2 linked regions of the Caenorhabditis elegans genome follow. The protein of the gene in region 1 purifies or fractionates together with the protein of each later gene. This does not show direct contact. Each region holds a gene or a part of one and is shown in the gene's direction. Other genes may lie near its edges.

Region 1 (5,237 bases):
TGTGATGCTCTATAATGGAATTCCGATAGGATTTTTCATTGTTCTTTGTTTCACAACAGAGTCGAATATTCAACTTATCTATGCCAAGTACATGTCGATTGCGTACGCGTTCGTAATGTTGGCTGTGTTAGTCGCTACCAGCAGTCAAATTGTTCTCGAGAGTGCGTTTTTACATTATCCCTTCATCCTGATTACGACAATTTTCAGCTGTTCTCGCTCCTACATCTCTCTTCATTGTCACAATGGTCGGAATCTTCTTCTTTGCTGCATGTCTTCATCCAAAAGAATTCACGAATATTATCCATGGTGTCGTATTCTTCCTCATGATTCCATCTACATATGTGTTCCTCACTTTATATTCGCTCATCAATCTCAACGTTATCACGTGGGGAACTCGTGAAGCTGTCGCTAAGGCAACGGGACAAAAGACGAAAAAAGCGCCTATGGAACAATTTATAGACAGAGTGATTGATATTGTGAAAAAGGGATTCAGATTAATCAGTTGTCGGGAGAAGAAGGAACATGAAGAGAGACGAGAGAAAATGGAAAAGAAAATGCAGAGAATGGAGCTAGCCTTGAGAAGTATTGAGGTTATCTTTAACTTTAGAAATGTGAAATTAATAATTTATTTTCAGAGTGGTGCCGACGTGAAGAAAATTCTCGATGCAACAGAGGAGAAGGAGAAACGTGAAGAAGAAACTCAAACTGCAGATTTTCCGATTGAAGAGAACGTAGAGAAGACTCAAAAAGAGATTCAGAAGGCAAACCGTTATGTGTGGATGACAAGTCATAGCTTGAAAGTTTGTGAACGAGGAAAACTGAAAAGTGCGGAAAAGGTTTTCTGGAACGAGCTCATCAATGCATATCTGAAACCGATCAAGACGACGCCAGCTGAAATGAAAGCCGTCGCCGAAGGATTGGCTTCTCTACGAAATCAGATTGCTTTCACTATTCTTCTCGTTAATTCTCTTCTTGCTCTTGCCATCTTTTTGATTCAGAAACACAAAAATGTGCTCAGCATCAAGTTCTCGCCAATCAGTAAGCAATATTACCTTTATGGTCAATTCAAAAAATTTGTTTTTTTTTTCTAGAAAACTTCCGATGGACGAAAATGAATGAGATGACTGGACAATACGAGGAAACCGATGAACCATTAAAAATAGATCCACTTGGAATGGGAATTGTTGTTTTCCTTCTAATTATTCTTTTTGTTCAAACTCTCGGAATGCTTCTCCATCGACTTAACACTATGATAGGAGCTTTCCAAGAAGTGAAAAATTTGTACGAATACGGAGTTTCACCAGTGATAAATACAAAGAATGATGATGAGAGGATTATGAATAATGGTATTTTCTTTTTAAAACTAAGTTTAAAGACGAAACAACTCAAAATTATTGATGAATAATTGTCATTAAATGATTTTAAATTTTCGCAAAAACTAAAGATATAATTTTCAGCTCGTCTAATGATTAATTCTCTCGGTGTCAGTACTGGACACGCTGCCGACGGCTATACAAGGCATCGCGGAGAGGAATCCGATACCGGCAATGTTCTCTACAAACTTCAAAAGGCTCGTCTCGCAAAGCGAATGCAAAGAAGTGCACTTTCCACAACTGAATAGTGCTAAAATTGATTTTTATTTTTTATTTATTGCATACCAATTAGTATTATTATTATTGCATGCTCTTACCTCATCTCTCGCCTTTATTAACTTCTGTTGAATGAATTTGTAACTAAAATAAAGAAGAGGAAACTTTTCACCCTCTTTTTAAATGAGAAACTTTAAGGGATTATATTGTTCCTGCTTGGATATTTTATTTGAATTATCCGCTCAAATGTCTTACTTGAAAAGTTCGGGCGAGCACGTTTGCAGGGTCATTCTTCTTTCGCAATTTTTCTCCATTCTTCCTAAAAAAATGTTTTGATATCCTCAATATTCGTAGTTTTGAAGAATTTGCAAGCAGATCGCTTTGATTTTGCAGTAATTATATATTTTTTTTCAGTCAAAATGCAATCCCTGGACATAAAACCGACAGTTGGTCTAATCGCTTGCTGCGAATGCGGTGTTGCGATTGAACCAAATCCAGCGAATATGTGCAGTGGATGCCTTCGCTCGAGGGTAGATATTACCGAGGGAATCACTCGGCAATGTGAGTTTTCTAAAATTGTTGAAATAATAATTTTTCAAATTTCAGGCACAATTTACATGTGCAAATTTTGTGATCGTTACTTTGTTCCACCAAGTGCATGGATGAGAGCAGAACTGGAATCCAAAGAACTTCTTTCGATTTGCTTGAAAAAGTTGAAGCCAATGCTAACGAAAGTAAATCATTCACGGAATCACTTCAGTTTTCAATAAAATCCAAAATTTAGGTTCGTCTGACCGATGCGTGCTTTGTATGGACAGAAGCTCACTCCAAGCGTATCAAAGTGAAAATCACAATTCAAAAGGAAGTATTCACTAATACAATCCTACAACAAGCTGTCGTCGTTGAGTTTACCGTTCACAGTCAATTGTGCGATGATTGTCGTCGTGCTGAAGCCAAAGATTTCTGGCGTGCTTGTGTGCAAGTTCGTCAACGTGCAGAGTTCAAGAAGACTCTTTTCTATTTGGAACAACTTCTCCTCAAACACTCCGCTCACAAAGAATGTACTGGAGTCAAGCCTGTTCCGACTGGAATTGATTTTTACTTTGCGAAACAACAAGAAGCGAGAAAATTTGTCGACTTTTTGATGACTGTACTTCCATGCAAATATCACTACGCGCAGGTTTGTGAAAGTCGATGATGCTGAAATAATTGACATCAGTTTGCCTACAAATCAGGGGTGCATAGCAATTGCCGACCGGCATTTTTACGAAATGAGCCAGAGGGGCATGCTCTCCCAATATTTTTCAGTAAAATGTAAAAAAAATGTTTTGATTTATCTGAAAATAACTTTTTATTAACAACTGAAAGTGCTCAAAAAATTACTGAACGTTGAAAACTACCCGAATTGTTTTTTTTGTTGATAATTTATCTGATTTTTTCCGGCAAAGCAATTATTTTTTATGTATTTTACCATTACATTTTGATGAAACATATTAGAAAAACATGTCAAACTGTATCATTTTGTAGAATTGCCGCGCACCCCTTTTTCAAATTATTCTCTGAATTCTTACGAGTCAGTTCGCAAAACACCATATTATATTCACCATCAGTTATGACATTTTCTTATTTCAGGAACTTGTCTCTCACGATACCAAAAACAACACATACGATTACAAACACACTTTCTGCGTTGAAATCGTACCAATCTGCAGAGACAATATCGTTTGTCTCCCAAAGAAACAGGCTCAACAATACGGAAATATGTCACAAATCGTTCTTTGTCTTCGTGTCTCGAATGTCATCACTCTCATCGACCCCAACAATTTGCAGTTGGTTGATGTTCAAGCGTAAGTACAAATATCTAGAAAAGAAATGAAAATTGGCATATTACAGAACTAATTTCTGGAGAGAGCCTTTCGATTCTCTTTGCGGACCAAAACAATTGACAGAATTCTACGTTCTCGATGTGGAACCTGTAAATAACTTTGAGAGAAAGGCAGGCCACGGATATGTGAGTAAGAAACACGAATTGGCAGATGTATGGTTGGTGAGAAGTGATCAAGTTGGAATGTCTGATGCTCAATCTCTATCAGCTAGAACTCACATTGGACACTTGTTATCACCTGGAGACTTGGTTATGGGTTAGTTTCAATTATTGTGTATAACTTTATTTACTTACTTCTAAAGTTTCTGATTAGAATTTTTTTGGAAAAACATTTTTAAAATTCAGCATTCGACATGAAGAACTGCAATGTGAATAATGCAACTTTCGATGCCATGAACATTGATAATGTTCCGGATGCAATTATTGTCAGAAAGGTATTTTTACAGTTTTTGGAGGAATACTCAATATTTTATGAATTTCAGGTATTCGATAGAACTCGTCGTACAGCCAAACGTCAATGGAAGTTGAAGAGATTGGTTGTTGATGGTAATATTGTTGGAAATGAGACGGCATCAGTTGCTGATGAATTCCAAGGATTTATGGAGGATATCGAAGAAGATGCACTGATGAGAGAGAAGATTAATATTTATAAAGTGAGAGAAAATTAGAATGATATAATGTTGTAAACCAAATAAATTGCAGGACGCAGAGAAAGGACCAAATGTTGATGGAGACGACGCAGAAGATCATCCAGATGCTCCAACTCTTGCCGAAATGCTTGATGATTTGAAATTCGATGACGAGGAGATGAAAGAGGCTGAAAGTGCAGAAGATGATGAAGCTATGCAAGAGTAATCTTCGCTCTATCTCAAAATTTCGTTTTTCTCCATATTGTTGTCTTCTATATTTTTGTTTGCAATCTGATCATTGTTCCAACCTATTCCTACTACTCGCTTGTTGTTCTGTTATCACATTTTGTTTATTAAAAATACCCCGTTTTTTGTTCGTTCTCCTTATTTTTTGATAAATCTGTTTTCAAGAAAAGCTACGCCTACAATACTTTGCTGTTTTAATCACTTAAAAACTATTACTGCATCATTTCTTATCAACATTCTTGCCCTTTACTCACCTTATCATTTTTAAGTGCATTTTCAGGTCTAGATTGTGCTTTTTCTCATTATTCTTGAGATTTTCCTATTTGAATTCATTCTCAGAAATAAGTCTGTATGCCGCCGTCAAGGGCGTCGTCGAAAAATTTTACGTTTTTCTGGAAAATCGTAAAAGTTTTTTTAGGATATTGACAAAAAATTCAACATTTTGTTTATGGTGTCATCGAAAACTTCTCGATTTTTCAGAGATAATTGAAAAATTGAAAAACGAAAATTTTAGATATTTTTAAGAATCGGGAAGAAGGTTTAGAAAATTAACAAAAATCCAATTCTTCTTAAATTTCAGTTTATTTTGATGAAAAAACAGAAGAAAACATATAATTTTGTTTTACTTGAACAAGAATCAACATTTCGAGACATTTTTTTCGAAAAATTGGGAAACGGGAATTTTTAGATTTTTCCTTTTTTTGTAAAAAATCTAAAACGACATTCTTGATGCTGCTGAAAAAAGTTATCTTCTAAAAAAATTTAAGTTTTTTTCGTAATATAGAAAACAAAAAGCCTTTTTAAAATCACCCGGAAATTTCGAAAGTTAGGATATTAAAAAAAAACATCTACCTCCACGCTTTCCAAAAAAAGTTTGTTCGGTTCAAA
Region 2 (5,132 bases), on another chromosome or scaffold:
TCCATTTTCATAGTCTACAAATTTTGTCTTCTTCAACGTCACCACCAAACATTTCATTCTTGCATCGTTCTTCACACACTTCTCCTTTTCCCAGCTTTTAATCACTGTTATCGCTTCGACTTTCAGCTCATTTCCATGTTTTTTCGAACCAGGGAGTGGGTTACGAATTGGGTTTGTTTCGAACATTAATTCGAGAAATTCCTAGAGAAATTTAATTTTTTAGTTTAATTTAAGCTTTCACAAAACTCACTGATGGATCATTGAGTAGATTTTCCCGAAATATTGGAAATTGTAAGAAGAAGCTATTGAACAGTTGCAGAATTAGTTTCCTATCGGGACATCCTGATCTCTTAAAATGTTTTAATTAATTAATTCTAATGTTAATCTTGAATCTTACGCTTGTAGTATCCAGCAATACTTCTATCACATTCTCGCAGCCTTCTTCGTCCTGATTTGCCACTTCTTTTTGCAAATTTTGATATGGTATTGATTCAAAGTCCAACTTTCCATCATCTGTCAGCTGAAAACTTTCGCATAATTTTGTTTTTTAGTTCCAAAACTCACTTCTCGTATGAATCGGTTCAAATTCTTCCTTATTATTGTTGTGGAGTTGTCAATTGAATCCATAAAACTGCAGTACTGAAAACAAAAACAAAAATAATGTTTTCTATCATAATCTTAAAGGCGCATGCAAAGAAAACCGTTCACAGGTCTCGAAGCGAAATAGGTGATACGGTTGTTTTTTTCAAATATTCCTCACTTTTGGTTGCCTTCTTTTCAACATTTTATTTGTTTCCCGATAAGTTTAGACGCCAATTTTTATTTCAAGGGAAATAATTTTATTTAGCGAAAATTATCAACATTTTTTCTTGCTTTGTTCTCAAGTTTGGCTTCATTTTTCTTCTGAAAATCACAAGAACGATGAAAACAACAGCGTATAAACATGAATTTAATTTCGCAATCAAATTATTTTCGAAATAATTCGTTAAGATGTACTTAAAAATTTAACAGCACATTTTATTTTTGTGAATATCTACTTTCGAAAAGTAAGTAAAATACATTTTACTCGTTGTTTCCGTTCTCACCAAACACAGAAATATCAGGTCCGCGAGTACCCAACAGCCGCGAAAGTTTTTGTCAAATGCGCTCCATCGTACTCTTTTGCGTCTGCGATGAATTCGAACAGGAAAGGCCGCGAGGAGACTTTCCCCGCGCGCGCCGGCGCGTGTCTTGTGATAAAAACTGGGATGGCCGCTGAGCATGAATCCGACGATTTCTCCCACTTCTTCCGTTTTTTGTCTCTCACACGTAAAATCTGCTTCACCGCTGTTTTTTTTCCGTTCTCATAGCAAATAATAGGTGTGTAGTGTGTCACGTGCGGCGATTTTGTTGCTTCTATTTTCATTCAATCTTTCTCATTTCGACATTTTCGACGCGCGTCTCGGCCAAAAATATTCAGAATGGTCCTTCCGTTTCTCAATTTCTTCTCCTGTCTTCATGTATCTGCAAACAAGTAAACATGCGAAAAAAAATCACATGACCCCTCCTCAATAGCTCCTACGCTTTGTTTTCAATGTTTTCCGAACGTAAAGAGAGGGCGCAAGTCATGCACATCACGTGACAAGACAAAGCGGGACGGGTGCACTCATCGAGGTGTCCTCAATCGATTTTTTACCGTTGCTTACAATAACATCGCGCGCTCTGTCCCAATTCAGCAAGGTCGCACACAATATTTTTCGCAGTGAGATTTGTTTGGCCGAACTTTTGCATTCAGCATTTCTCACTTCCTAGTCTTGAATAGATCCTTATCAATCCAGTAATTTCGAAACATTTGACTGTCAAAAGTGACGATGATGAAAGAAATATCTCTCGTCTTCTCCCATCTCCAATTTCCGTTTCTGAATTTATTTCTGTCAAACTTTAGGTCAATATTTTTTCCCTCTCTTGACATATATTTTCTACACCTTTTGGTTTGCAAATTTAAAAATAATTTTCTTATTTTCAGAACTGGGCTAGATCGATCGTCCCATCGTCAACAGTCGGTTGTGTGAGAGAGCGTGAGAGTGTGTGTGCGAGTGAAACGATATTTTGGCCTAATTTTCCAGCTTCACTGTGAGAAACACAGGATTTCTGCCCGAAAAGCGAGAGCCTGAACCCCGCCAGTTTTGTGTGTGCGTGAGTGTGTGAGACTGAACTGGAAACTACTGCCGATTTTTGCGAAATTTGATCGCTGGTAAGTTATTTTATATTTATAGTGTTGGTCAATAAATGCTATCAATTTCAGAAACCGACAATAAAAAAACATGGCTGTCTCAGCAATGGAAGTGCTCTCTGAAGCGAAGCGTCAATTCGCCCAAGGTGACCGTATCGATGTGACTCTTTTGGATCAAGTCGTCGAGATTATGAATCGAATGAGCGGAAAAGAACAGGCCGAGGCTAACCAAATCCTCATGTCGCTCAAGGAAGAACGCGATTCGTGGACCAAAGTCGATGCGATTCTTCAATATTCGCAGCTAAATGAGTCCAAGTATTTTGCACTTCAAATCCTTGAGACTGTCATCCAACACAAATGGAAGTCGTTGCCACAAGTCCAACGTGAAGGAATCAAGTCGTACATCATCACCAAAATGTTCGAATTGTCTTCTGATCAGAGTGTCATGGAACAAAGTCAACTGCTTCTTCACAAGTTGAACCTCGTTTTGGTTCAAATTGTCAAACAAGATTGGCCAAAGGCATGGCCAACATTCATCACCGATATTGTTGATTCATCGAAGAACAACGAGACCGTTTGCATCAACAATATGAATATTCTGAGCTTGTTGAGGTATTTTGAATTAGTTTTAAAATGTTTTGCTACATTTATTATATTTTTCAGCGAAGAAGTATTTGATTTCGGATCCCAAAACCTCACCCAAGCCAAGGAACAACATCTGAAACAACAATTCTGTGGACAGTTCCAAGAAGTATTCACACTGTGTGTCAGCATTCTCGAGAAATGTCCATCCAACTCTATGGTTCAAGCTACCTTGAAGACTCTTCAACGATTCCTCACCTGGATTCCAGTTGGCTACGTTTTCGAGACAAACATCACGGAATTGCTGTCTGAAAACTTCCTTTCGCTTGAAGTGTATCGTGTCATCGCTCTTCAATGTCTCACGGAAATTTCACAAATTCAAGTTGAAACCAACGATCCCAGCTACGACGAAAAGCTTGTCAAAATGTTCTGCTCTACAATGCGCCACATTAGCCAAGTTCTATCTTTGGACCTCGACCTGGCTGCTGTCTACAAAGATGCTTCCGATCAGGATCAGAAACTCATCAGTAGTCTGGCTCAATTTCTTGTCGCGTTCATCAAAGAGCACGTTCATCTGATTGAAGTAACTGATGAGCCATTAACTGAGGCTAAAATTTTAATGCGAGAATCTCACGACTATGCTATTCAACTTCTTTTGAAAATCACTTTGATCGAAGAAATGGAGGTTTTCAAAGTTTGCCTCGATTGTTGGTGCTGGTTGACTGCTGAGCTCTACCGTATATGTCCATTCATTCAGCCAAGTACTCTTTACGGAATGATGAGTCAGGTTCGTGAGCATCCACGTCGTCAACTCTACCGTGAATACCTCTCGCAACTTCGTTCAACAATGATTTCTCGAATGGCAAAGCCAGAAGAGGTGTTGATTGTGGAAAATGATCAAGGAGAAGTTGTTCGTGAAATGGTCAAAGATACTGATTCGATTGCTTTGTACCGTAACATGCGTGAAACGCTTGTCTATTTGACTCATCTTGACAACAAGGACACTGAAGTGAAGATGACTGAAAAGTTGGCATCACAAGTGAACGGAGGAGAGTTTTCGTGGAAGAATTTGAATCGTTTGTGCTGGGCTGTTGGTTCGATTTCTGGAACGATGGTTGAAGAAGACGAAAAGCGATTCCTTGTTCTTGTTATTCGTGATTTACTCGGGCTCTGTGAACAGAAACGTGGAAAGGACAATAAGGCAGTGATTGCGTCAAACATCATGTATGTTGTCGGACAGTACCCGAGATTCCTTCGAGCTCACTGGAAGTTCCTGAAGACGGTTATCAATAAGCTTTTCGAGTTCATGCACGAGACTCATGAAGGTGTACAGGACATGGCTTGTGATACATTCATCAAGATTTCCATAAAATGTAAGAGGCATTTCGTCATCGTCCAACCAGCTGAGAATAAGCCTTTCGTCGAAGAGATGCTCGAAAATTTGACTGGAATCATCTGCGATCTTTCTCATGCACAAGTTCACGTATTCTACGAGGCTGTTGGACACATCATTTCTGCGCAGATAGATGGAAATCTGCAAGAAGACCTGATCATGAAGCTTATGGATATCCCAAATCGCACATGGAACGACATCATTGCAGCAGCATCCACTAACGACAGTGTGCTCGAAGAGCCGGAGGTAATTTATTTTAAGGGGTTGGCTTTTATATTTATTCAAATTTCAGATGGTCAAATCTGTCCTGAATATACTAAAAACAAATGTGGCCGCCTGCAAATCCATTGGATCTTCGTTTGTAACCCAACTCGGAAATATCTACAGTGATCTTCTATCCCTCTACAAGTGAGAATTAAAAAAAAAAGAAGTTCTGTTAGTAAACCTAATTTTTTTAGAATTCTATCCGAGAAGGTGTCCCGAGCAGTGACAACCGCCGGCGAAGAGGCTTTGAAGAATCCATTGGTAAAGACGATGCGAGCTGTGAAGCGAGAGATTCTCATCCTTCTATCGACATTCATTTCAAAGAACGGAGATGCCAAGCTCATTCTGGACAGTATAGTTCCACCATTGTTCGATGCGGTTCTCTTCGATTACCAGAAGAATGTGCCACAGGCGAGAGAGCCGAAAGTGTTGTCTTTGCTCAGCATTCTGGTCACACAACTTGGAGTCAGTTATCTTTTGAAATTTTGAAAAAATTAAAATAAAATAAAAATAATTTAGGGCTTGAAGAAAAATTTTCAAATTCGTCTCAACTCTTAACTTTTAAATTTCGAAAATTTCTCAAAAATTATAACTTTATCAAATTATTTTTCAGTCTCTCCTCTGTCCACAAGTGCCGAGCATCCTCAGTGCGGTTTTCCAATGCAGCATTGACATGATCAA

What was found.
Region 2: the proteins of T25G3.3 (region 1) and xpo-1 fractionate together in Caenorhabditis elegans (co-fractionation; one large-scale study listed by BioGRID). This does not show direct contact.

Annotation. Positions count from the first base shown.
Region 1 is NC_003279.8:7,557,836-7,563,072, forward strand, and holds T25G3.3 (60S ribosomal export protein NMD3), read left to right. Parts: upstream 1-2,003; 5' UTR 2,004-2,008; coding exon 2,009-2,150; intron 2,151-2,195; coding exon 2,196-2,323; intron 2,324-2,373; coding exon 2,374-2,769; intron 2,770-3,221; coding exon 3,222-3,436; intron 3,437-3,482; coding exon 3,483-3,730; intron 3,731-3,819; coding exon 3,820-3,908; intron 3,909-3,956; coding exon 3,957-4,127; intron 4,128-4,176; coding exon 4,177-4,329; 3' UTR 4,330-4,514; downstream 4,515-5,237. Other genes in the region: Chitin synthase chs-1, read left to right, coding at 1-161, 208-590, 636-1,038, 1,092-1,346, 1,458-1,621.
Region 2 is NC_003283.11:7,803,059-7,808,190, forward strand, and holds the start of xpo-1 (Importin N-terminal domain-containing protein), read left to right. Parts: upstream 1-2,005; 5' UTR 2,006-2,233; intron 2,234-2,284; 5' UTR 2,285-2,303; coding exon 2,304-2,824; intron 2,825-2,875; coding exon 2,876-4,433; intron 4,434-4,479; coding exon 4,480-4,595; intron 4,596-4,645; coding exon 4,646-4,916; intron 4,917-5,064; coding exon 5,065-5,132. Other genes in the region: uvs-1 (UV-stimulated scaffold protein A homolog), read right to left, coding at 1-201, 251-349, 398-520, 565-627.